Linked DNA regions of Canis lupus familiaris. The main gene of each other region encodes a partner of the protein of the gene in region 2 in a complex. Links are inferred from orthologs where the notes say so. Each region holds a gene or a part of one and is shown on either strand. Other genes may lie near its edges. The genes, in order: KNSTRN and SPAG5.

The links.
Region 1: SPAG5 (region 2) and KNSTRN share a complex: the UniProt entries of both Homo sapiens proteins name them as parts of the astrin (SPAG5)-kinastrin (SKAP) complex. The link is inferred for Canis lupus familiaris from reciprocal best matches to the Homo sapiens genes SPAG5 and KNSTRN.

The regions. Positions count from the first base shown.
Region 1 is NC_049251.1:7,849,659-7,862,467, reverse strand, and holds the end of KNSTRN (small kinetochore-associated protein), read right to left. Parts: intron 10,844-12,809; coding exon 10,714-10,843; intron 9,793-10,713; coding exon 9,745-9,792; intron 8,454-9,744; coding exon 8,348-8,453; intron 8,132-8,347; coding exon 8,038-8,131; intron 6,239-8,037; coding exon 6,177-6,238; intron 5,422-6,176; coding exon 5,347-5,421; intron 4,639-5,346; coding exon 4,507-4,638; 3' UTR 3,901-4,506; downstream 1-3,900. UniProt on the Homo sapiens protein: Essential component of the mitotic spindle required for faithful chromosome segregation and progression into anaphase.
Region 2 is NC_049230.1:42,763,996-42,776,804, forward strand, and holds the start of SPAG5 (sperm-associated antigen 5), read right to left. Parts: upstream 12,511-12,809; 5' UTR 12,394-12,510; coding exon 12,343-12,393; intron 12,087-12,342; coding exon 11,961-12,086; intron 8,261-11,960; coding exon 7,170-8,260; intron 7,059-7,169; coding exon 6,881-7,058; intron 984-6,880; coding exon 909-983; intron 664-908; coding exon 571-663; intron 423-570; coding exon 288-422; intron 104-287; coding exon 1-103. UniProt on the Homo sapiens protein: Essential component of the mitotic spindle required for normal chromosome segregation and progression into anaphase. Required for chromosome alignment, normal timing of sister chromatid segregation, and maintenance of spindle pole architecture.

The DNA.
Region 1 (12,809 bases), on a different chromosome or scaffold from region 2:
ATTTGTCAGCGATTCCTTATTGCCTTGAAGGTGGTGGTGTCCTATTTGATTCCAAGGTTTGAGAAGTTAAGCAATGCCTAACGTTCTGGTGAGAGGAAAAACTCCCCTAAAAGCCTGATATATAAGGGAAGCCATTTAGAAATTTAGATTTCTAAATCAGCATGTACATAAACTTGATATAAACCAAAAGCCTAACTTACAGCCCACCAAGTGTACACTGTACATCTGTAGCCTAGAGGAAAAACATCTCAGTTGGTTAAGTGTCTGCCTTTGGCTCAGCTCAAGGTCCCAGGGTCCTGGGATCAAGGCCTGCTGCCTCTCCCTGCTACTTGTGATCTCTCACTCTCTTGCGCTCTCTAAAGAAAAAAAAGAAAAAAGGTCTTGATTAATGTACCTACTCCTTGCATTCCTTGACAGTAAAACTTGTGATTCCTGCCTATATGTTAATTTATAATCTTTTGGGGTGCCTGAGGGTTGCTCAGTTGATCAAGTGTCCAACTCTTGATTTCGGCTCAGGTCATGATCTCAGGGTTGTGGGATTGAGCCCTGCCTCAGGCTCTGCAGGGAGACTGCTGGAGATTCTCTCCCTCTGCCTCTCCCCCTGCTCTCTCAAACCTTAAAAAAAATCCATAATCTTTTCAGCTTTTACAAGATGTAAAAAAGGATAACACTGTAAAAACTGTTCATTCTCCGGGTGCCTGGGTGGCTCAGCTGGTTGTCTGCCTTTGAATCAGGTCACGATCCCCTCAGGATTGAGCCCCATGTTGGCTCCCTGCTCAGGGAAGAATCTCCTCCTCTCCTTCCCTTCTCTCTCTCTGACCCTCCTCCCTCCCACCTGCCCTTGCTCTCCTGCTGTTGCTTGCATGGGCTCTCTCAAATGAATAAAAAATCTTTAACAAATAAGCAGTTCATTCTCCAGAACACTTTCTTCAAGAGCATATTTTCCCAGGTAGCTGTCTTAACTTGGGCTCTAATAAAACTCCTTTTATTTTTTAGTGGGGATGGTGGCAGGGGTGGGGGCATAGAGCACAGATGGGGAAGGAGAGACAAGCAGACTGTGCTGAGCCCTGAGCCCAAAATAGGGCTTGGCCTCACAACCCTGAGATCATGACCTGAGCTGAAATCAAGAGGTGGCAGTTTAACCTACTGAGCCACCCAGGCACCCCTCCTTCTTACTTGTAGAGATTCTAAAAAGTTTGTTCATTTTATGTAGACAATTCCATTAGTGAATAATCGTAGTTCTTTAAAAACGAAAGTTTTTTCCTTTAGATTTATGTGTATTATTTTTTCAAATACCTACTAATTGTTGGATCTAACCACTTAAAATAGAACCATTAGTTACTTCTTTGGGGGTTATGTTATGGAGACACTAACTGGGGCTGCATCGTGAACTGAGAAAGTTCGTTAAGCTCTGGCCTAGATGATAAAAACCCACATTTCTTAGCCTGGACTTCAAGGATCTTCAAGACTTCTAACACCAAGTACCTTCCACCCCTGCTATTCCTGGCTCAAATCTTTCTCCAATATTTGTTTGTTGTTTGACCTTGGGTAAATCCACTTAACTTCTGAGCCTATTTTCCCTGGCTGTAAAAAAGAGATAATAGTGCTAACCTTGTGGTGGTTAATGAGGATTACCTGAAAAGTGCAGCAAGGAGTTATGTGTATATGCCTCTATATGACACATACACCATGTATTGGCATAGCGCAAGTGCCCCGTCAAGTGTCAGGTATAGTCCCCTCTCACCCTGAACCTCCAAACAAGCCCCAGTTCCCCTTACTTTCCCAAGACTCATCTGTATATCCCCTCAGCTTTTTATTCTGAAGCATTAAATGATTTTATTTTCTCCCTGGAGGTTCCAATGATACCCCCTCCTTGGGTTTAATTTGCTAGAGCAGCTCACAGGCTCAGAGAAACATTTTATTTTTTAAAAGAGATTTTAATTATTCATGAGAGACCCACAGAAGCAGAGACATAGAGGGAGAAGTAGGCTCCCTGCAGGGAGCCCGATGTGGGACTCAATCCCAGGACCCTGGGATCACTCTCTGAGCTGGAGGCAGATGCTCAACCACTGAGCCACAAAGGTGCCTCAAGAAACAGTTTACTTACGAGATTATCAGTTTACCACACAGGCTGTAATTCAGGAACAGTCAGGCAGAGGAGCTGCAGAGGGGAAGGGAAAGGAAGCTGCCTCGGCCTGAGCTTGTTCCTCTCTCTCCCCAAACCTCCATGTGCTCACCAACGTGGAAAGTTCTCAACTATCTAGCCAGCTTCTTCAAATTGCTCTTCCTTCAAGCTCCAGTCTCGCCCCTTTTCAAACCTTCCCCAACCAAACTAGTCCAGAGTTAATTACTAGAGGACACAACTATGTCACACGCACAACCCACTGTTAATCAAGTGTTGCTGTGTTATTGAACTTATATCACCTGCACATTGTTTTGCCAAATAGACTACAAGCATCTTTGAGATTAAGAATGCCATGCTAGGGATCCCTGGGTGGCGCAGCGGTTTGGCGCCTGCCTTTGGCCTAGGGCGCGATCCTGGAGACCCAGGATCGAGTCCCACATCAGGCTCCCGGTGCATGGAGCCTGCTTCTCCCTCTGCCTGTGTCTCTCATGAATATATAAAATCTTAAAAAAAAAAAAAAAAAAAAAAGAGTGCCATGCTACATTAAAGTTTCCTACAGCATCTGGCAAAGTGGAGGGTACAGATCACCATTTGTTGAGTTTATAGAACATGAGTTCATCTGGCCTCGGTATCAGATTAAGTGCCCAGAACACATGTACAAAAGGCAGATGGAGCTGGAGAGGTCGGAGGAGGGAGAAGGCAAGAGTGCACAAATATCAGCTGGTGGTACAAAGAACCGTGAGGCAAGGCCCCTTGGGAGCCCAGGCCACTAGAGAGCAGGGTTTCCGCACTGGGAAAAATGGGTAACAGGCATTGAGAGTTACATTCCCAGTTGTTAACGAGGGAAGCCTGGCAAGGAGGTCAAGATCCCACAGCTGAGTTCTTCCCCTCTCCTTCCAAGAAGGAAGTAGAACTTTTTCTTTTTTTGGCCAGAAATGCCAATTACAGATTCATTTGAGTAAATAACCTTTTAAGCTATAAACATGCTGAAAATGAGTAGAAGAAAATATTCAGCCATTGTCACTGGTGAGAATTATGTAACTGGGTTTCTCCGATAATTTCTGGGCTATAACCAACTATGCGAAGGTTTGTGTGTGAAGGCAAAGAAATTTAGCCCTGAAAGTCAGGGTGGGGGTGTTACTTGGCCCGATTGGGTGGTAGTCTCAATGCTTAAGGGGGGCTGGGGGGCGGGAAGCCTGGGTGGCTCAGCAGTTTAGCACCTGCTTTTGGCCCAGGGCGTGATCCTTGAGTCTCGGGATCAAGTCCCAGATTGGGCTCCCTGCATGGAGCTTGCTTCTCTCTCTGCCTAGGTCTCTGCCTCTCTCTCTCTCTCTCTCATGAATAAATAAAAACCTTAAAAAAAAAAAAAGGGAAGATAGCCAAAGTCTGCCTGGATGAACGAAGAAATGAAACAGAGCCATGCCTTTGGTAAAGCTGAGGGGAAGCCTGCCATGGACTTCAGCTGACCTAGGACATGGGCCAGGATTGGCTGTGCACATTGCAGCAGAAAACCAGGCTCAAGAATATAGGGAGGACACAGGCAGCTAGTGACACACGCCTGGGGGGTGGAGTCTGGCACCCACTGCTGTCAATAGGGGACAACCTCAGAAGACCAGCTACTGCTCCTGGAAGACAGCAGGGCTGGTGACAGAGAACTTAAGTAGAAGAAAAAATTCTGGGTTAGATTGAGGTTTTGAACTTCTCAACTAGATCAGGTCAAGAGCGTTCAATGGATATTTTTCAGTTAAAAGGCTTATTTTCATTTCTTAATGTTATAGTCAGGATAGTTACAGAAATATTTATTTTACAAGTAGCACTTAAAAAAAAGTGATTTAGATTAAAAGCTCCAAGGTGTATTATTTCAGGTAGGTGTTATTGCTATCTATACCTTCACCCCCATTTATTAAGCCATTTCAAGTAACTTCTTGTTCATTAATTTACAATGAGGTATAGAGCCCAACCAGGATGAGACAGAATGTGTTCCAAGTTCAAGGGGACAGCATGGCTTCTCAGTGATGTCTCCTGTAGAGCCTCTGTGCTCCACTGTACAATTAAGGTTTTCTTCTTACACATCTGAACATGACCTTTGGGATCCTCTGGCTGGCGTTGGTTTAGTCTCCTGATTCTAATGGCATGCTGCTTTGTGGCCTAGAAGGCTGATCCAAGCTTTTGGGGGCCCCTCTTGCCAGCCTCGATAATGTATGTGTGAGGTTCAGGAGAGCCCACCAGTCTAAGGGTGGCGCACGCTTGCCTAAACTGTCCTTAATCCTACGCAGAAAATGTTTCCATTCTGGGGATGGTGAGTCCTAGAAGGTCATGGCCAAGAAGCAGATGTCCTAAGTGGCTTCCCCTGGGGGAGCCATCTGGTCACTTGCTTTTTATCACATTTCTAATAGCTGCTCCATTTCCTCTAGGGCTGCTGTAAAATCATTTACTTGACTGTTACATAATGTCTGCTGTTCTAGGAACCGGGCCCTCTCTTCTTCTTTAATCTTCAACTTTACTTTTAAGGCCTGCATGGAAAGACATTCAAAAAGAACACCCACAAAACTTTGATTCACATGAAAGGCAACACCATTTCAGGACATTATGCTTCTCTTCCCTTGAGAAAGACTACTTGAATGCCAACAGACGTGAGATTTTCTATCTTAGATCTGTTCATCTGTGCTGGGTTTAGGAATGGTCTCTACTACAAACTCCTATATCTAAACAGGAGCCATGAAATTCTCTAGGATTCCGTGCCCTGTCCCATGATTCTTCCAAGCAATCGAAAGCAGTCCAGACTCAAGAATCCAGTTTCCTATTATAGGTTTCCTTGAGATATCAGGTTTCCAAAGCATAGCTTACACACACACACACACACACACACACACACACACGCCCACCTCCTACTTTGAGCAATTTAGCGTTTTGCATATTGCCTCAAGCTCTGTAGAGGTGAGTCTTTGGAACAGAAAATCAGTAATCAACTGAAGTCTGGGAATTTAGTTAATAGTAATGCATCCATGTTGGTTTTTTAATTTTGACAAATAGACTACAATAGTGCATGATGTTAATATTAAGGGCACTGAACTCCATTATCTTTGTAATGCTCCCATAAATCTATTATTACAAAGTAGTTTATCAAAAAGAAATAAATTGGTTAAGAAAAAGTCCTCCAGAGACCCGCCCCCTGTGGCAGGAAATGGTTATCCTGCCTCAGGATGACGTCTGCCTCTCACCTGTAACTCCTCCATCTGCTTTTTGGCTGTTTCATTAAAAAGCTTCAGCTCATCTTGCAATGTTTCTAACAGCAACTGAGAGTAAAGTACAACACAGTAACAAATCTTTACAGATATGTGAAAACTTTCCTCATATAAACTAACCTAACTTCTTCATAAGAAACAAATGTTAATTAGATGATCACCAACAACCCTTCTGTTCAGTCAGGCGTTCACTGAGCATCCCACACGTGCTGGGCTACTAGGCACCCCTGGAGTCCACAGGATGGACAGACCACCCCACATGCATGTGCTCTAGTTACATAGGCAATGTGGGCAAAGCAGCCATCGAAGAGGTGACTGCTAGCCTGTGGGGTCAGAGGAGGGCTTCCATAGTTAGTCTAGGATCCTAAGATGACAACTGACCTTTCTGGGGAAGAGGCCATAAAAGCTCAAAGACAATATCAAACAACTACCTTCCCACTTTGGGGAGCGAACCAAAGAGAAGCTGAATTTAATTCAGGCTGGATCTTTCCATCGTGCGGTTCTCAGTAAATGGGCAAGGGGAGAAATTTGGTAGAGAACTGAAAAGCCAGAAAGTTCTCTATACAGGTCCATCTTATCATGTGTCTTAACGTAGCATATTTTTAACTGAGACCCACTCATATCTGTAAGCACAAAGTCGCCTTCCAAGTAAAGTATGCTATTTTGAGTACACATCCACTGCTTTCTCCCACTATCATGGAAAACAAAGGCTGCTTCCTGGACTTTGCTGAGCACATGGCAGAGACCTTGGTTGGGCAGAGCCCCATGGTCACTTAGCTCTCCCCCACTCACACCCACACCCTCACCATAGAGTCTGTATGATCCGTGGTGGCTTCTTGCTGTGATGCTGAGGTCTCACTGCCTAAAACTGATGCAAATGACAAAGTCAGCCTTGCTTAGGGAACTGCACCTAAGACAAAAACTAAAAACCTCTCCAAAGACAAGAACAGGAATATTTATGAGGGAAACTTCTCAAAGAGTCTGGTCCCTGACTTTCTCCTAAGTTTTCACCTTGGCAGGGGCACCTACACCTTCCCTCAGAGCTTTATTTTACCTCCCTCCTCTCTAGCTTTGGATACGGTCAAAAGTTCATTCTGCTTTCTCTTTAGCTTAGCAGGAAATGTGTCCAAAGGAAATGTATAGGTTGGACTTTTTGGGTTTGTTTATAATACAAACAATTATTTTTATTTTTTAAAGTTTTTTAAACATTTATTTAATTTTAGAGAGGAGAGAGAGCACGTGTACATGTGGAGTGAGGTGAGGGGCAGAGGGAGAAGGAGAGGGAGAACCTTAAGCAGACTCCCTGCTAAACATGGAGCCTAACACGGGGCTTGACCCCAGGAGCCTGAGACACGGTTCAATCCCACCAACCTGAGATCATGAGCTGAGCCAAATCAAGAGTCTGACGCTTAACCAAATGAACAACCCAGAAGCCCGACAAAAAACTTTTTAAAGCTTTTGGGCTTAAAAAAGTTATTTTTGGTAAAATTAGTGCATATGCATTGTAAATTAAAATCATACAAAAACGTATATGGTGACTATAAAGAATATATCCTAAAATCACAGGTTAATCAGCAGCATTCGAAGTCAGTGTTTCTGAATTCAAAGAGGCCTGGGTTCCTTCCTGGGTATTTTCAGGCTCCTCACCTCATTCTGAAGCTCTTGTACAGTCTTTGGGCAATTACTTCTTCTACTCCTCCCTTTGCTACAAACTCTGCTCTCTAGGGACAGGGTCAGGATAGAAATCACATTTAACCATTATGAGTCTGCTGACGAACCAGGTTTAGGAGCCCTTGAAACAATATCATATCTGTCTTTTCCCATCTGGGAAAGTTAGTATTTGCTCTCTGCCTTGAAAGAAATAAAAGATTTCTGGTCTATTTGCAAGATGATACTTGGTGGCACCAAATGAATGGCATAAAATGTTCAGATAGGAGATAATCCTCCCTCCACAATAACTGAAATTCTGTTGCTTAAAGTCAACATCACAAGGGAACAAAGAAAAGCTCCTCCAGGGGCCCCTGGCTGGCTCAGTCAGTAGAGCTTGTGACTCTTGATCTTGAGGTTGTGAGTTTGAGCCCCAGGTTGGGTGCAGAGATTACTTAAAAATAAATCTTAGGGGGCAGCCCTGGTGGCGCAGCGGTTTGGTGCCGCCTGCAGCCCGGGGTGTGATCCTGGAGACCCAGGATCGAGTCCCACATGGGCTCCCTGCATGGAGCCTGCTTCTCCCTCTGTCTGTGTCTCTGTCCCTCCCTCTCTGTGTCTATGAATGAATAAATAAAATCTTAAAAATCAATCAATCAATCTTAGGGGCACCTGGGCGGCTCAGTCAGTTAAGTGTCTGCCTTCGGCTGAGGTCATGATCCCATGGGCTCCACATCAGGCAGGCTCCCTGCTCAGCTGGTGAGTCTGCTTCTCCCTCTCCCCACTCCCTGCTTGTGCTCTTTTGCTCTCTCAGATAAATAAAATCTTTTAAAAATAGTAAAATTAAATCTTAAAAAAAGAACTAAAAGATCCTCCAAATCTTCAGGGCTGTGCTAAGCAACCCTTGCACTAAACCGGTCAGCTAATGGGATGCTGGAATCCTGACACACCGTCCACAATCACCCCAGGAAATGGCAAGTGCACTGACTCCTCCTCCAAAGGCAACTGTGTCCCATCTCTTACCTGGGTTGAGGCCCTTGCTCTCCAAAATTGCCAAACAGTTATCCTGAAACTTCTCCAGCAGCTCCACCTTTTGAGTCAGGTCTTTCAGTTCTCCCTAGTGAGGTGCCATGCAGACAATCAGGCTGGTCCCGCTCTGCACGGGTGGTCTTTCCCGCCCTTGCTCCTTGTACTGCCATGGCCCAAGCCTGGCATCTTCTCTTCCTCCCTCCGGGCACCAGGCAATACAGTCTTCTTCCACCCACGGGGCCATCCCTCGGGATTCCACGCATTACCTAGTGCAGGGGTGACAGAGGTCCGGCAGGTCTCTTACCTGAGTTTCAGTCAACTTCTGGTGTAGCTGCTTGTTGACGGCCTCTAAGAGCTGATTCTTATCCTTGAGCTCTTCCTCTGATTTCTGCTTACTCAGCGGTTTGTAGCTGTAATGGTAAGTGTGCTTATAAGAAGAGGTGGAGGTGTTAAGAAAATGACTTGTGGGGGCAGCCCTGGTGGCGCAGCGGTTTGGCGCTGCCTGCAGCCTGGGGTGTGATCCTGGTGACCCGGGATCAAGTCCCACATCGGGCTCCCTGCATGGAACCTGCTGTGTCTGTGTCTCTGCCTTTCTCTCTCTGTGTCTATGAATAAATAAATACAATCTTTAAAAAAAAAAAAAAAAAAAGAAAATGACTTGTGGGGTCATACACACAGGGGTTCAAATCTTGGCTTCATTATATAGTGGTACAGGACCCTCAGTAAGTCACATAACCTCTTTGAGGCTTTGTTGCCTCATTTCTAGAATTAGGATAATACATTGCATAATATCACTATTGTGAAAAATAAGAGAATACCTGTATAATTCTTAGTACAGCTATTGACACATCATAGTAAATACTTAATAAATAATAGTCATTATCATCATCAATATTAAACCTTCTTTTCAGTGCCCTCAGAGTCTTTCTTGAATAGTACTTTATCTTCAGGACTTTTTTTTTTTTTTAAGATTTTATTTTTTAAGTCATCTCTACACCCAAAGTGGGTCTTGAACTTTGAACCTGGAGATTAAAAGTTGCATGCTGAGGGTACCTGGGTGGCTCAGTTGGTAAAGTGCCTGACTCTTGATTTCAGCTCAGGGTCCTGAGATTGAGCCCCACTGGGGCTCCGTGCTCAGCGAGGAGTCTGCTTGAGATTCTTTCTCCCTCTGCTCCTCCCCCGTGCTCTCTAAAATCAATCAATCTTTTAACACATGCCCAAATGATAGATTTGAGATTAGAACCTATTTCTATAAACTTTCCAGCTTGCATTATTTCTGTCCTCAGAACTACAGAACATCCAAGCTAGCCTCAAACAGAGATGGATCCTTCCCCAGGATTTCTGCCACCACCACAACCACCACCATCTCAGAGTCACTGACCACACAGTGCCTCCTAACCTGAAGGCTCACATTCTATTGATGGCCCCAAGCTGGGTTTGGTTTCCAATTAACAGTGGTCCTGGCATGGAGCCCAAAAAGCTCTTGTCTGGTTCTCAAGATGGGAGCATCACTGATCCTTGCCCTGACAGTGGTTCTCGAACCTGGCTGTGCCTCACCCCTGAAAATTCCACTCAGATTTCTTGGGGTGGCACCCAGACTGTAACACATGAAACAAACCCACGAGTGAGTGTGAGGCACAACCAGGACTGAGATCCACCACCTTAAAATGGTGGCCAACTCTCATTCACCTTGATGCTCACCTCTTTCTGATGTTCCTCCTGATGGCAGGGTCTGCAGCTTTGACCTGCCTAGAGAAGCAGTAACAAAGAAATCAGGATGTTCACTAGTCTTACTGCAGTGATCATTTTGCCATAGATACAAATACCTAATCATTATGTTGTACATCTGAAGCTAATATGATGTTTAAAAAAAACAACAAAGAGGGGCGCCTGGGTGGCTCAGTGGTTGAGCATAGGCCTATGGCTCAGGGCATGATCCCGGAGTCATGCATCGGGCTCCCTGCAGGGAGCCTGCATCTCCCTCTGCCCATGTCTCCGCCTCCCTCTCTCTTTCATGAATAAATCAAATCTTTTTTTTTTTTAATCAAATCTTTAAAAAACAAAACAACAACAAAGAAATCAGACACTTGTAGCATTGTTGTACGTGTGTTATGAACAAGGCAGAACAAAGAGCCTGGTCTTCTGAGGAAAAAAACAGGGATTACATACAATGCAAACAGCCTGAGAAGCTCTGAGAGCCTATGCCCTTTTGTCTCAGCCTAGGACTGTTGAAAAAGGCTTAATAGGGAATGGACTCCAACTCCTGACCCACCTCAACCACCCGACAGACCTGCTGCTCCTCACAATGGTGTGGCTATCTCATGTCAACCTGGCTCACAAGGGAACTGAGTAGAGGGACACACACTAGCTTGGGCAGGACTACGCTCAGACTGGCAATCTAAGCTAACGGGCAGCCCCATCCACCCTGACCACCAAGTAGGGCTGGTGTTTGGCCTTAATACTGCCATTTGCACACTCAGAGCAAGAGGTGAGAGAAGAAAGTCCCTGTTATCTTGACCCTCACTAGGCCTCTTCAGAACTGGTCAACACAGAGGGTTCTGACACACAACTGACTCGGGCTGCCCTGTGCTCTCAAGACTCCTATTTTCTAAACCTGACAATGAGCAATTTCTAGTAAGATGTTCTCCTCGGATACCAACAATCTCTCACCCATTCTCTCGTCTTGGCTTGACGATTTTTGTAACATCATTTTCTGAACCTCCTGAATGAAATCTGGAAGCATCCACTTCTTTGGATTTAACAGGTAAGAGGCTCTTAGAAGTGGCTCGAGTTTGTGTGTCTGCAAAGGAAAACAAGTGGGTGAAATCTCAAGCATTGTGACCCAACTGCTGCAACTAACCGTTCCGTTCCGGGTTGTCAGAACCCTGTACTTTCACGCTGGCCCATCTCAGTTTGTGAAGACTCATTCAGAAGAACACGGCTTCTAGCCTAATTGGAGATGGAAACCAAAATTCTTCAAAAATGATGGTGCAATATATTTGAGGATAGCTGAGAACTTGAGGATTCAGAAAACTGAATGGCCAGGTGGGTATAGGTGGGAAAGTGAATGTTGGTACAAGCAGAGAGCTAAATGGGAGGCAGCATGGCCATCAGCAGGGCAGCACCCAGCTGGAGTCCTTCTTCAGCAGCAGCGGAACCCACTGGAACCCACCGGAACCCACCCACCAGGCGAAGGTCCTCGCATTCTGGCACCAGGCACTCCACACCCTTTCCAAGGCTGCACTCAAGCTGCTGCAAGGTTCTCCTGTTTTTTTTTTTTTTTAAAGATTTTATTTATTCATTCATTCATTCATTCATTCATGACAGAGAGAGAGAGGCAGAGACACATGCAGAGGGAGAAGCAGGCTCCATGCAGGGAGCCCGACGTGGGACTCAATCCGGGTCTCTAGGATCACACCCCAGGCTGAAGGCAGCACTAAACCGCTGAGCCACCAGGGCTGCCCACAGGTCCTCTTTTAACTGTTAAGTTATTTTGACTGGACAGTCTCCCTAAATACCTAAGAGATGTCTTTGTGTCCCCAGTGCCTCGCAGAGTATCTGGCAGAGTCACAGCGGTTCAGCACCCACTTGTTGAGTAAATGGAATGCTTCACAGCTCCCCGGGTTACTTCGCAGACCATTTCTAAATCATCTCCTCTAGTCTTCTTTCCTTGCCTTTTTTTTTCTTTCCCTTTTCCACGCTGATTGCCTTTACTGCCAGCCCTTTTAATTTGTTTGTTATTAAGTCCAGAGCTTCCCTATTTGGCATTCTGTTTTGATCTTGCTAGGGTAACTGCCAGATAAGCTGAGAAATGGCCCTGCCAGGACACTCTTCTTCCCTAGTCCTTATGCCAGCCCTCTACCACACTGTCTTTCTACCATGTATATTCCATGGCAAATTCAAGGAACTTGTTCTGGAGTCATGTACCGCTCCTCCATTGGCCACCCCAAACCACTCCCATGGGTTTCCCAGTTTAAACGTTCACTTTGTTCATCCTTCAGCTTGGCCTAAACTAAGAGCTGGAATGATTAAATCAGATTGAAGAAATGCGGTACAAAGCATTGACTGGATCACAGGGATCAGGAAATTTTGTATCTGTATTTGACACAGATTTTATTCTGATGACTTTAGCTACACAGCAGTTTGGAATAAATATGATTTCTCAGGCTAACAAATTGTTTCATTTATAGGTACACTCACTGGGGACTTAAACCCTATTTTTCTGTTCTCTTACCCACAAAGCAATATTGGAAGGGTTCTTTTTGAGGTCTCTGTCTGAAGTAAGCATTTTTTTTTTTTAATCTATTTATTTTATTTTTTAAAGTAGGCCTCACATCCAACATAGGGCTTGAACTCACAACCTGGTGTTTAGGAGTCACATGCTTTACCAAGTGAGCCAGCCAGGCACCCCAGGTCTCTGTCTGAAGTAAAAAATAATGTTGGGGGGAACACAGTTACCTCCTCTTTCAAGTATTAGTAAGTCATACATGGCTACCCCAAGGAGAAGGTGTTAACAATAAGTTGATTAAAATTACCTTTCTTCAAGGGACACCTGGGTGGCTCAGTGGTTGTGTGCCTGCCTTTGGCTCAGGTCATGATCCTGAGGTCCCGGGATGGAGTCCCACATTGGGCTCCCCACAGGGAGCCTGCTTCTCCCTCTGCCTATGTCTCTGCCTCTCTCTCTCTCTCTCTCTCTCTCTCTCTCTCTCTCTCTCTCTCTCATGAATAAATAAATAAAATCTTAAAAAAACATTACCCCTCTTCAT
Region 2 (12,809 bases):
CCTTCAAAAGGCCTCTGAAATCCCCCATGGATGCCAGGTCCTGTTCTAGCTGGCTGATACGCTGGCTGGCGTGTGCACAGAAAGCCTCTAGCACAGCCTCTGCCTATTGAAGGAAGAGGTGGGCAGAGGGGCAAAAGAGCACAAAAAGCCCTGACTCTCCACACCTGTGGTTTAGTTCATTATTCCCCAGGGCAAGCAGTCATCTGTGTCTCAGGTGAATTTGTGTTCCTGCAGGAACCCTGAGGAAGAGACCTCTCACATCCAGGAACAAAGGCATGGCACCTTACCGCATCCTTGCCTCTGAGGGCCATTTCCTCTTTGTGCATTGCCTCCTCCTTTTCTGCTTTGAGGCTCTGGAGCCTTGCCTTCAATTTCCTCAACACATCACAACAGCAGGAGACCATAGTTTCTATACGCCGAGACTACAAGGTAAGAACCAGACACTGCATCTAGTTACCGCCCCTCTCCCCCCCCCACCCCCCCCCCCCCCCCCCCCCCGGCCGCTTTTTTTTTTTTTTTTTTTTTTTCCATCTCACCAGAGGCCCCTGCCTTCACCTTCATGCTGCTTACCTCCTGACTCAAGGCAGTTTTATCTTCCTCGAAGTGCAACAGAGATAGATGAAGCAAGGATATCAGCTCTTTAGAAACCAGCACCCATGACTGCTGTGGAGGGAAAGGTGGTTAGGCTAGATCAAATAAAGTCCCTAAGCAAGAAATAAGCAAGGACAGTGGGACGGAAACCACTGACCCCAATTCTAAGCTCCCAATAGGGACATGTCCTTAACAAAGGTTTGGAAACCTCCCTTCACTACCATGGCTTAGTATCACCATCTGCTAACTACTCAGGATTCTCCATTCTTTATCTTCACAGGAGACCCAGAGATAATATAAGGTCAATCAAAGCTTACCATGACATTCCTGGCCTGCTGCAGAACCTGTCCAATCTCTTGACTCTCCTGAAGATGCTGAGGTTTCTTATTTATCTGGGTGGAGAAACAAAAGCTGTGCCTTTTGCATAGACAACATGCACCACCAGCACTGCATTCCCCCTCCCACCCCCTGAGATACAGGAGCCTCTCCTATTAACAGTAGGAGCAAAGCTCACAAGCTCGATGAAGCCAAGTCAGAAAAAAATTGAGATACATAAAAAATTCATTTTCAAAATAACTTTTTTTTCTAATTAGAAGAATGAAACTGGGCAGCCCGGGTGGCTCAGAGGTTTAGCGCCGCCTTAGGCCCAGGGCCTGATCCTAGAGACCCAGGATCGAGTCCAAAGTCAGGCTCCCAGTGTGGAGCCTGCTTCTCCCTCTGCCTGTGTCTCTGCCTCTCTGTCTCTTATGAATAAATAAATAGAATCTTAAAAAAAAAAAAAAAAGAACGAAACTATAAGAATGTGCTTAATGTAAAATTTTAGAAACACAGAATTAATAAAATGGAAAAAGAAACCATTAATAATTTCACCACCTGGAGCAACAATTTTTTTTAAAGGTTTTTTTATTTCAGAGAGAGAGCATGAGTGGGGAGAGGGGCAGAGGGAGAGAGAGAAGCAGACTCTGCGCTGAGGAGGGAGCCCCATGTGGGGCTCAATCCCAGGACCCTAAGATCATGATCTGAGCCAAAGGCAGCCGCTTACCAACTCAGCCACCCAGGCGCCCCTACTTAATTTTATTATACTAATGTTATTTAACCCTGAATTTATATTCACTCTCCTCACTGAAATAGCCTGAGACTGGAAAATCTGCTTTAGGGAGACCTATCAAAGCGGACTACTACTCATTTTTTTACTTCTGATGATACTTTACCTCACCTTAAAGCCTCTCAAAGATTATCTGAACTCTGATTTCCTTTCTTTAAAAAACCATGACTTATGTTATACTTCCTTTCCCTGTTATTAAAAGCTCTTCATAAGCACATAAAATTAGGTTGCAGATTATCCCATCTTACGGTGTATCATTTTTCATTACACTTTTTTCATTATTTTAAAAAAAGCTATCAGTTTTATGCAGCTTTTTTTTTTTTTTTTTTTTTTTTTACCCTAAGGATACGTCCCTAGAAGTAGAACTACTAGGTCAGAAATTCTGAATTGCTTTAAGGGTCTTACTTAAATTACTTGCAAAAAAGGTTAAGCCAATTTATATACCTTACTAACAACAGGACAATACTTACTAGCATTATCTATTTTATTTTTGCCATTTTGGTAGACGAAAATAGCATCTCATTGTTTTAATTGGCAATTCTCTTGATCACAGTAACCTCCCCATATACTCCTTTGTCGTTTTCATTTTCCCATTCTCTATCTATTCGTTATCTTAGTGCAGATAAAAATTAGTATGCTACATTGAGTGGAAAAGTATGATCTCAAGGCAGCAGAGCCATACAAAGACTCAAGTTCTGAGACAGAAGCAGGAGCCATCATTACTGCTGAAAGGCAGCCATCATCTAAGACAAAACCTACTGTGGGAGCAGCAGTGCTGAGTCACGATGTTACAGCAGTCTGGATTTAAGGGGACAGAGCTTGTAGAGTTCACTGTTCCCCTCCCGCACAGAGCAGTCATGATTCCCTACTGCATCATGTAGTAAGGCATGGAGGATGCCATGAGCCCCAGACAGGGGACGCATGCTGCTCAGAGCTGGGCAGCCAGGCAAGTGATGAGATTAGTGTGAAGGAAGCAGCCACGCGGCAAGGACAGGGCACTGCGATAGAGAATGGCAGCCGGTGCTATCATTGCCTCTATTTGGCTCTGCCTCAGTGGCATCCAAAGGGATTTGGCGATGGGGATCCCTGGGTGGCGCAGTGGTTTAGCGCCTGCCTTTGGCCCAGGGCGCGATCCTGGAGACCCGGGATCGAATCCCACGTCGGGCTCCCGGTGCATGGAGCCTGCTTCTCCCTCTGCCTATGTCTCTGCCTCTCTCTCTCTCTCTGTGTGACTATCATAAATAAATAAAAATTAAAAAAAAAAAAAAAAAAGACAAAGGGATTTGGCGAGCTTCAGGGAAAGAGGGTACGAGGTCAACTCAGGGATGGGGAACAAGGTCAGGATTTTGGCAAAAGATAGTCATTATTTTGAGAATATTTTCAACTCAAGGTCTTTGGGCATTTGGAGACCATCTCCTCTTAGCAGCAGCCACCCATTACCTCAAAGGCCACAGGACTGAGGCTCTCAATTCCTCCCTGGATACCATTCCCTTCCTTCCTCAGCTTATGCTATCACAACCAGAGTCCTCTAGAATAGTGGTCTTTTTTTTTTTTCCTAAAAATTTTATTTATTTATTCACAAGAGACACACACAGAGAGAGAGGCAGAGATGCAGGAAGAGGGAGAAGAAGGCTCCCGATGGGGAACCCGAAGTGGGACTCTATCCCAGGACCCCAGGATCATGATCTGAGCCTAAGGTAGACACTCAACCTCCAAGCCACTCAGGTGCCCCAAGAACAGTGGTCTTTAAACTGTTTTCCTGGGATCCCTGGGTGGCGCAGCGGTTTGGCGCCTGCCTTTTGCCCAGGGCACGATCCTGAAGACCCAGGATCGAATCCCACGTCGGGCTCCCGGTGCATGGAGCCTGCTTCTCCCTCTGCCTGTGTCTCTGCCTCTCTCTCTCTCTCTCTCTCTCTCTGTGTGACTATCATAAATAAAAAAAATTAAAAAAAAAATAAAAATAAAAATAAAAATAAAAATAAAAATAAAATAAAATAAACTGTTTTCCTTTCATATCTCCAGAATAACTTTGAAAGACTGAATATTGAGGTGCCTGGGTGGCTCAGTGGTTGACATCTATCTTTTTTTTTTCTTTTTAAAGATTTTAGTTATTTATTCATGAGAGACACAGAGAGAGGCAGAGACACAGGCAGAGGGAGAAGCAGGCTCCTTGCAGGGAGCCTGGTGTGGGACTCGATCCTGAGTCCTGGGATCAAGTCTCATATCGGGGTCCCCTCGTGGAGCCTGCTTCTCCCTCTGCTGCGTCTCTGCCTCTCTCTGTGTCTCTCATAAATAAATAAAATCTTCTTAAAAAAAAGACTAAATGTATTTTTTAAGATTTTAATTTATTTGCGAGAAAGAGCAAGAGAGAGAGCTCTAACATGAGTGGGGAGAGGGGCAGAGGGAGAGGGCGAAGCAGACTCCCCACTGAGGAGGAAGCCTGATATGGGGCTTGATCCCAGGACCCAAAATCACAACCTGACTCAAAGACAAATGCTTAATCAACTGAGCCACCTATGCAACCCCCAAAAGACTGAGTACTGTTTTGTTTTCTTTTTTAAAGGTTTTATTTATTTATTCATGAGAGACACAGAGAGGCAGAGACATAGGCAGAGGGAGAAGCAGGCTCCATGGAGGGAGCCAATGTAGGACTAGATCTTGGGACTCTGCTATCACACCTTGAGCTAAAGGCAGACGCTCAACCACTGAGCCACGCAGGCGTCCCAAGACTGAGTATTTGAGGTTTAAATTATTACAAAGGCTGTAATTTCAAACCATACTATAAATATTGATAGTTTGAGGGGCACCTGAATGGCTTAGTTGGTTAAATGTCTGCCTTCAGCTCGGGTCATGATTCCAGGGCCCTGGAATTGAGCCCAGCATCAGGCTCCCCACTCAGCGCCCTCACTCGCTCGTTCACTCTCTCTCAAACAAATAAATAAATTTTAATAAATAAATCTTGATAGTTTGAAATAAAACTGTTAAATCACTCTTAAGTATATCCAACAGTATAAATAGTACATATACCATAATTTTTTTTTAATATTTTATTTATTTATTTATGAGAGATAGAGAGAGAGAAAGAGGCAGAGACACAGGCAGAGGGAGAAGCAGTCTCCATGCAGGGAGCCTGACGTGGGACTTGATCCTGGGACTCAAGGATCACGCTCCGGGCCAAAGGCAGGCGCCAAACCGCTGAGCCACCCAGGGATCCCTACCATAATGATTTAATACCTATTTGATACCATCAAAAAACGTATAAACAGGGGCTCCTGGGTGGCTCAGTTGGTTAAGTGTCCAATTCTTTATTTCAGCTCAGGTCATGATCTTAGAGTCCTGGGATCAAGACCTGCATCAGGCTCCACACTTAGCGGGAAGTCCACTTGAGGATTCTCTCTCCCTTTCCCTCTGCCCCTGCTTGTGTGCACTCTCTCTCTCAAATAAATAAATCCTTTTAAAAAATGCACAAACAAGCTCTTCCTAAAAGTCAGACATTTTGGGGCCCCTGGATGGCTCAGTCACTTGACTTTGGCTCAGGTCATGATTTCAGGGTTGTGAGATCAAGCCCTGCGTGAGGGTCCACCCTCAGTGGGGTGTCTGAGTTCATTTCTTTCCTTTTCCCTCTCCCTCTGCCCCTCCATGTGCTCATGTTCTCTCTCTCAAATAAATACATCTTTCAAAAGTAAGAAATTTTTTATCATTCCTTTTTCTCCTTGAACCTGTATTTTTACTCTTCTCAGAATTTTATCCTAATGTAACAAATTTTAGTATCTCTATATATCTATAATATAAAATCTATTATTATTAATCAATATATCTGCAACAACAGAAATCCATTTTAGTCAGTAAAATTTTATTGCAAATCATCTATTAAAAAAATGGATGGTGCTTCTTATTAGTTCATGTTTCTGTGGAGTACTGTAATGCCTATACTAAGACATGGCTCAGCAACAATTCCATGCTGATTTTCCTTTCTTATGAGATTTAAGCACTGAGAATCCTCATATAAATAATGGGAATAGGGGATCCCTGGGTGGCGCAGCGGTTTGGCGCCTGCCTTTGGCCCAGGGCATGATCCCGGAGACCCGGGATCGAGTCCCACATCGGGCTCCCAGTGCATGGAGCCTGCTTCTCCCTCTGCCTGTCTCTCTCTCTCTCTCTCTCTCTCTCTCTCTGTGACTATCATAAATAAATAAAAAAATTTAAAAAATAAATAAATAAATAAATAAATAATGGGAATAAGTAAGAATGGAGGAAAAGAAAAGGGCACATCACCCAATTCTAGGCGCTCCTTTGGAGATACATGCCAAAAATCTCATATTGAACTTCTGTCAAAATGTTTAATGATCCACAAATATAACTAAAGTCTTCCTTCAATTTCATTGAAAGCATGCAAAAATGATATGTTACATAATCATCATAGTCATTTGCTTTCTTAGCATGGACACAAATATTTTCAATTGTCCTTTGATTACTATTCCTTGACAATGTAAGATTCAAGATAGGTAGTAAATACACTGTTTGTTAGTAAAGTGGACAGGGGCAATTGAGAATGGGGAAGTAGGAAAGAAAAGAAATTAGTCAAGAGTACATGTGGAGGACGCCTGCATGGCTCAACCGCTGAGCCACCCAGGTGTCCCGAAACTGACTCCTTTAAAACTTTCCTGGGGATCCCTGGGTGGCTCAGGAGTTTAGTGCCTGTCTTTGGCCCAGGGTGGGATCCTAGAGCCCCGGGATCAAGTCCCACATCGGGCTCCCGGCATGGAGCCTGTCTCTCCCTCTGCCTGTGTCTCTGCCTCTCTCTCTATCTAGGTCTATCATAAATAAATAAAATATTTTAAAAAAATAAAATAAAAAAAAATAAAACTTTCCTGGCTTGGGACACCTGGGTGGCTCAGCAGTTGAGCATCTGCCTTCGGCTTAGGGCATGATCCTGGAGTCCTGGAATCAAGTCCCACATCAGGTTCCCCTTGAGGACCCTAGTCTCCCTCTACCTATGTCTCTGCCTCTCTCTGTGTGTCTCTCATGAATAAATAAAACTTTCCTGGCTTATATTCCCTTGGAAAATCTTGATGTATCCCACGGGTATAAATGAGTACCCACAGCTTTAAGGGATTATCCAGATCATCACCTTTTACACATATTCTAAGGAAGAGGGCCCACTGGGAAGAAGAACATTCATACCCCACCGGGAGATGTGCCAGTCTGTGTGCTACTGTCCTGAACTTCTGAGTGAGGGACAGTCAGCTGGCTCTTCCAGTCCCGCAGCTGGCGAGAGAGAACCTCCAGAATGACAAGAGAGTTCAGCAGGTTATCTTCCAGGTCGTGTCGAGATAAGGCAGTCAGATCTAGAGGACGGTTGCTGTGGCAAGAGAACAATATGAGAAGAGAAGAAAGAAGAAAGGGGAAGAGAGGGGCACAGCAGGTCCAGGCTAATGAGGCCCAGGAGGCACAAAGATATAGGGACACTTACCCCCATAGGAGGTGCTCTGTCTCAGAAGTACCATCCTTGACACCTGCTGGGCCTGTCTGGGAGGTGTTTGTACTCTTTTCCTGTGCTACTGGGGGAGTAAACCAAGTCCCTACAGAGCAGGTAGGGAAAGGGGTAGTGCTAATCGCAGTATCCCGAAGCATAGAGGGAAGAGATAAGCTCTGGCGGAGATTTTCCAGCATGACTGAAGTATTTATATCCTTTTCCAGCCAGGCCAGTGGAGACATCCAAGGCCCTGTATCAGAGATGAGAACCCTACCAGTATCTTCTACTGTTGGGCCTGCAGCTGTCTGGGATTCCATTTCTCTTGGATTTGGGGTCAGGCATGTGAATGGAGTAGCTTCCATATTTGAGACAAGTGCTTGATCTCCTAGTTCAACCTCCTCCGGGAGTATGGGAAAGCTAAGTTCTTTTTCCTCTACAGATCTGTGCTCTACAATTTCCTCCCCTGGGTCCACATGACTGACAAGGAAATCTGTTGCTAAGTCAGTTGAAGGGGAGAGCCAGAACATGGAGGAAGGCAAGGAGGTATTACTTTCAGAAGGGACTAAGTCCTCAACCACAGCCTCAGTCCTACTGCCCCTAAAGCATTCTTTGGAGCAGTGTGGTTGTTGCTCAGAACAGGTATTTGGTAGATACTCCAGGATGTGGGATGGAGGATGCTGAAATGTAGGTTTCTCAGGCATAGTAGGAACAACTTCTTTAAGGCTGTCTTCTAGGCAGGCCGCCACCCCCTCTCTTAGCAAATCTCCTGGGTTCAAAGGCTCATCTGGAGAGGTGTTATTTGTCTCTGCCATGGTATCTAAATGAGCCTCAAGTGTGACATCTTGCTGCTGCCCCACTGGAGAGGGTACAAGGAACATGGTTTTAAACACACTGTTGTCCAGTGGATCTACTGCTTCCTCAGATATTCTGGGAGTAGAGTTGGTTTGGGGATTCAAATCTAGAGACTGTTCATCTGATTCACGATGACAAGCTTCCAGGCACTTTGATGGATGGCTGAACTGTTCTGAAGAGGAGTCTGTCCTCTTGGCATTGACAAAATCCAGTGGAGATGCAGTGTTGCTATCTTCCTGCCAAAGAAAACAAAAGTAGTTGGCCAAGGCAGTCAATTCAGGTTCCCAACCTACAATTATGAGTACAGAATACTGTCTAAACTCAAGGGAAGATTTTCCTCTTTCCTTTTTTTTCAAGATTTTATTTATTCATGAGAGACACACAGAGAGAGAGAGGCAGAGATATAGGCAAAGGGAGAAGCAGGCTTCATGCAAGGAGCCTGGTGCAGGACTTGATCCCAGATCCTGGGATCATGCCCTGAGCCGAAGGCAGATGCTCAACCTCTGAGCCACCCAGGTGTCCCAAAGGAAGATTTTTCATTACCTCTGCTTAAGTAAAGACTTGGCTATGCCCTGCTCTCACTAAAGAAACCCTAAACTAAACCTAACTAGGGCAGCCTGGGTGGCTCAGCAGTTTAGCGCCACCTTCAGCCCAGAGCCTGATCCTGGAGACCCAGGATTGAGTTCCACGTCGGGCTCCCTGCATGGAGCCTGCCTCTCTGTGTCTCTCATGAATAAATAAATAAAATCTTTAAAATAAAATTAAATAAATAAATAAATAAACCTAACTAAACTTTAACTAAAGCTGGGAACCCATCTTATGTCCTTGCAAGTGAATCAGCCTACAATACAAACAAGGCTGAGATAATCTATCCATATCCTGGAGGTGATGGTAGCTTAAATGTGACCCCACTCATCTTCAGTCCTAATTCCATTAGAGGAATGGATAGGAGAGATCCCTAGGTAAGCTCTGCCAAACTCTAGAGTTGCTCCAAGATTTTCTCTCTTCTGGGACAGATGAGAAATTGGGGACCAGAGTTAGTGTAATGTTTTGCTGGGGCCCACAGAGATCCATGGACCCTAGGAAAAAGGGCAACGTCAAATAATGAGCACTGACTCATATGTTGTGATCTTATCAATAAAATAATAATGTATGTTTGCATATTATTAAAAGAACACAGAGGAAAATATGGAAGGATATAAATCAGGATGTTAAAATGGACTGGTTACTTGGGAAAGGCAAGGCATGTGTGGAAAGAATTAATTCCAGAAGAGGGGTAAGAGAGATAGGAAACATGGAGCTAAACAAAAAACAAGAAACAAAAAAAAAAAAAAGGGAAGAGGCAGAGAAAAAAGAAAAAAATTGCCTTTATAAAAATATATTACAATAATATATAGATGAGTGTGTATGTACATACACACAGATTCACAAAAGAAATGTAAGAAAGGGGGTACCTGGGTGGCTCAGCTGGTTAAGCAACTAACTCTTGGTTTCCCCTTGGGTTGTGATCTCAAGGTGGTGAGATTGAGTCCTGCATGGGGCTCTGAGTTGGGCATGGAGCCTGCTCAGGATTTTCTCTCTCCCTCTCCCTTTGCCGCTCACACATGTGTATGCATGGGCACGATCTCTCCTTCTCTCTCTCTCTCTCTCTCTCTCTCTCTCTCTCTCAAAAAGTAAATTAAATAAATAAATAAAAGAAAGGCAAGAAAGGATTTTCAAATATGATAGTTATCTAAGATGGCAAAAACATACCTTCTTTCTTATATATTGTTTGAATGTTTCAAACAATGATCATCTATTATATAATTAATCAAAATTTAAAAAGCAAGGGCAGCCCAGGTGGCTCAGTGGTTTAGCACTGCCTTCGGCCTAGGGTGTGGTCCTGGAGACCCAGGATCGAGTCCCATGTCAGACTCCCTGCATGGAGCCTGCTTCTCCCTCTGCCTGTGTCTCTGCCTCTCTCTCTCTCTGTCTCTCATGAATAAATAAATAAAATCTTTAAAAAAAAAAAAACTAAAAAAGCAAAAGTAATAGTATTTTGTTGGGGAAAAAATTCTTTTTGTCTGTGAAGCTGACTATATCAGAAGGTAGCAAAAGGGAGACCTAAATTCCATTCTATTCTGCTACTGTGATTAAAAGGCTGTGGTTCAATTTTATAAGTTCTATGAAGATCAGTTCCCTATCACTTCTTGGCCTTTTGGCTAAGATCAAGTGTATGAAGATAAGTTCCCACTAAGTACTTTTTTTTTTTCTACCTAAGCTGTACGGTTTAATATGGTAAATTAAAATTAAATAAAATTTACTTCCTCAGTCCCATTAACTACCTTTCAAGTGCTCAACAGCCACATAACTCATAGCCACCATATTGGACAGCCCATGTTATCAAACATTTCCATCATCCCATAAAGATCTCTCTTTTTCTTCCAAGATTTACTTATTTATGTGAGAGAGAGAGAGCAGAGTGAGGGGCAAAAAGAGAGGGAGAGGGGAAGCAGACTTCACACTAAGGAAGGAGCCCACTTGGGCTCAATCACAGGACCCTGAGATGATGACCTGAGCCAAAACTAAGAGTTAGATGCTTATCCAACTAACCCACCCAGGTGATTCCCAGAAAGTTCTACTGACCAGTAGGTGTTAGATTGTTTTCAAGAAAGGCCACCATCTTCATACATCTGTTATTCAGGATATCATGTTTTTATACATTCTTTTTTCCTCCTATAATCTATTTTATTTATATCCTATCTCCTCCAAGAAATAATTCAGACTGCAAAGGGGCTGTGGGCTGGCTTAGTCAGTGGAGCATGCGACTCTTGAACTTGGGGTCATGACTTCAAGCCCTACATTGGCTGTGGAGCCTACTAAAGAAAAAATGAATATAACTAAAAATAAAAATATTAAAAATAATTCAGACTGCATGAAAAAGAACAAATAGATCCGGTTAATGAAATACAAAATCACAGTCAAAAAAGAAAAAGGAAGCAAATCTTCCTATTTCAAGGAGTAATCGTAGCTTTATCTGATGATCAAATTTGACCCTGAGCTTTCTAGAAGCCAGAGCAAGAAGAAAAATATGGCAAACTACAGGTAGCTCTCTGTATCAGAAAGAGAAAAGGACAGCAATTTCTTTATGAAGACAATTTTCCAGGCAGTTAAGCTCTTAAAGAAATTTCTTCAGGGCATCTGGGTGGCTCAGTCAGTTAAGTATCTGCCTTTGGCTCAAGTCATGATCCCAAGGTTCTGGGATCAAGCCCCATGTTGGGCTCCCTGCTCAGCCCCTGGCCTCTGCTTCTTCCTCTTCCTCTGCCCCTCCGCCTGCTTGTGCTCTCTCAGTCTCTCTCTCAAATAAATAAATAAAATCTAATTTTTTTTTCTTCAAGGAACTTTTAGAAGGGTCAGTTAGTTTCCTTCTCTGGCAAGTTTTTACAACAACTGAAAAGCAGTTTCTACAGGGCTACTTCTCTCAAGACTTTTGACAAAAGCACAACTCAACAGGGCAATTCTACAATGGGCTAGTTTAAAAGATGGTCCAAGTACCTTGACTTTCAGTGGGGTAACTTGATCCCAGGAAGAGTTCTGATTAACTCTTGGAATGGATGTGAATATTGCCTCACTATGGCAGCTGACTGATGTCTACGTGTGAGCCCACGTTAGGGGAAAACCACTAAGCAAAATGATGGTATTTCTCAGTAGTTCGGTAAAGGTTTAATGAGGGAGGAGGTGATAGAAACTAACAGCTAAATAGAGGTCTAGGTTCTCGGTGGATTTCCTTTAACCACCCTAGGGCACCTCTCTGTTGGCCTGAATAGCTGTAAATGGATGTCACTAAGGTAGAAGACTTCATTATGGTTAATTACGTTCCAGCCCTGGCCCTCTGTTCCTCTGAGCGCTCGACCTCGGCAAAGAGCCCAATCGAGAAGCCGGCCAGGCGAATCTCACCTGCAGTCCCAGCTTGTACAGTGAAGAGGTTGGCGAGTGGCATACCGGGGGCCCTTTTCCAGAGGTGGTGAAGGCACCGGGCTGCAGGACAAGTTCTCGGAGAGGAGTTCTCATAGCTGGTTTTCCCTGAGAAAGCAGAGAGTGTGAGAATGCCTGCGCTGGGCCAGCCCGGCCCTTCTCCCCTAAGAAGTGGGTCCTGGGGCAATAGGAAGAAGGGCAGACTTCCACCCCAGTCGCGCCGAAGCGGCAGAACCAGTAACAGACTCCATACACAGCCCCTTCCCCGGGCTGGGCCCAGCTTTCCGGGACCCTCGGCGTTGCCGGCGTCCCCGCCCCGAAACCCCGGCCCAGTTGTCTCCGTCCCTGAGGCTCTCCCGCTCACCGGTTGGGGCGAAGGCGACCCGCTAACGCTCAGCGCTTTCACCCGCCACATTTCCACTACAGAACGCCGATCGATCCCCTCTCACACCCAAGAGCAGACGCCACGTTCACCCGCCGTCTTTATTTGAACCTGCGCCGCGCCTCACGATTGGCTGCGGGGGCCTGGGCGCGTCGGCCTGGCGGTCCGCTCCGGGCTCGAGCCCGGCGGGCGGGGGCGGGGCTAGGGCAGGCCACGCCCCCGCCGCCCGGCGGTCGGCGCGCGCCCGCTGGCTGGACGGACACCCACCAACAGCACTCGCGGCGCAGGAGCCGGCTGAGGGGCTGGAAGCACACCCCGGGCCAGGCCGGCTTTGCGGCCTCACCTCGGCGCGGGTACCCAGACAGCTGGAGAGTCAGCTACCTCCCGCTTGCAGTGGGCCACCCTCACACCCTGTCAGAAAAGTTGTCTCGGTTCCCTGGCCTGAGGAG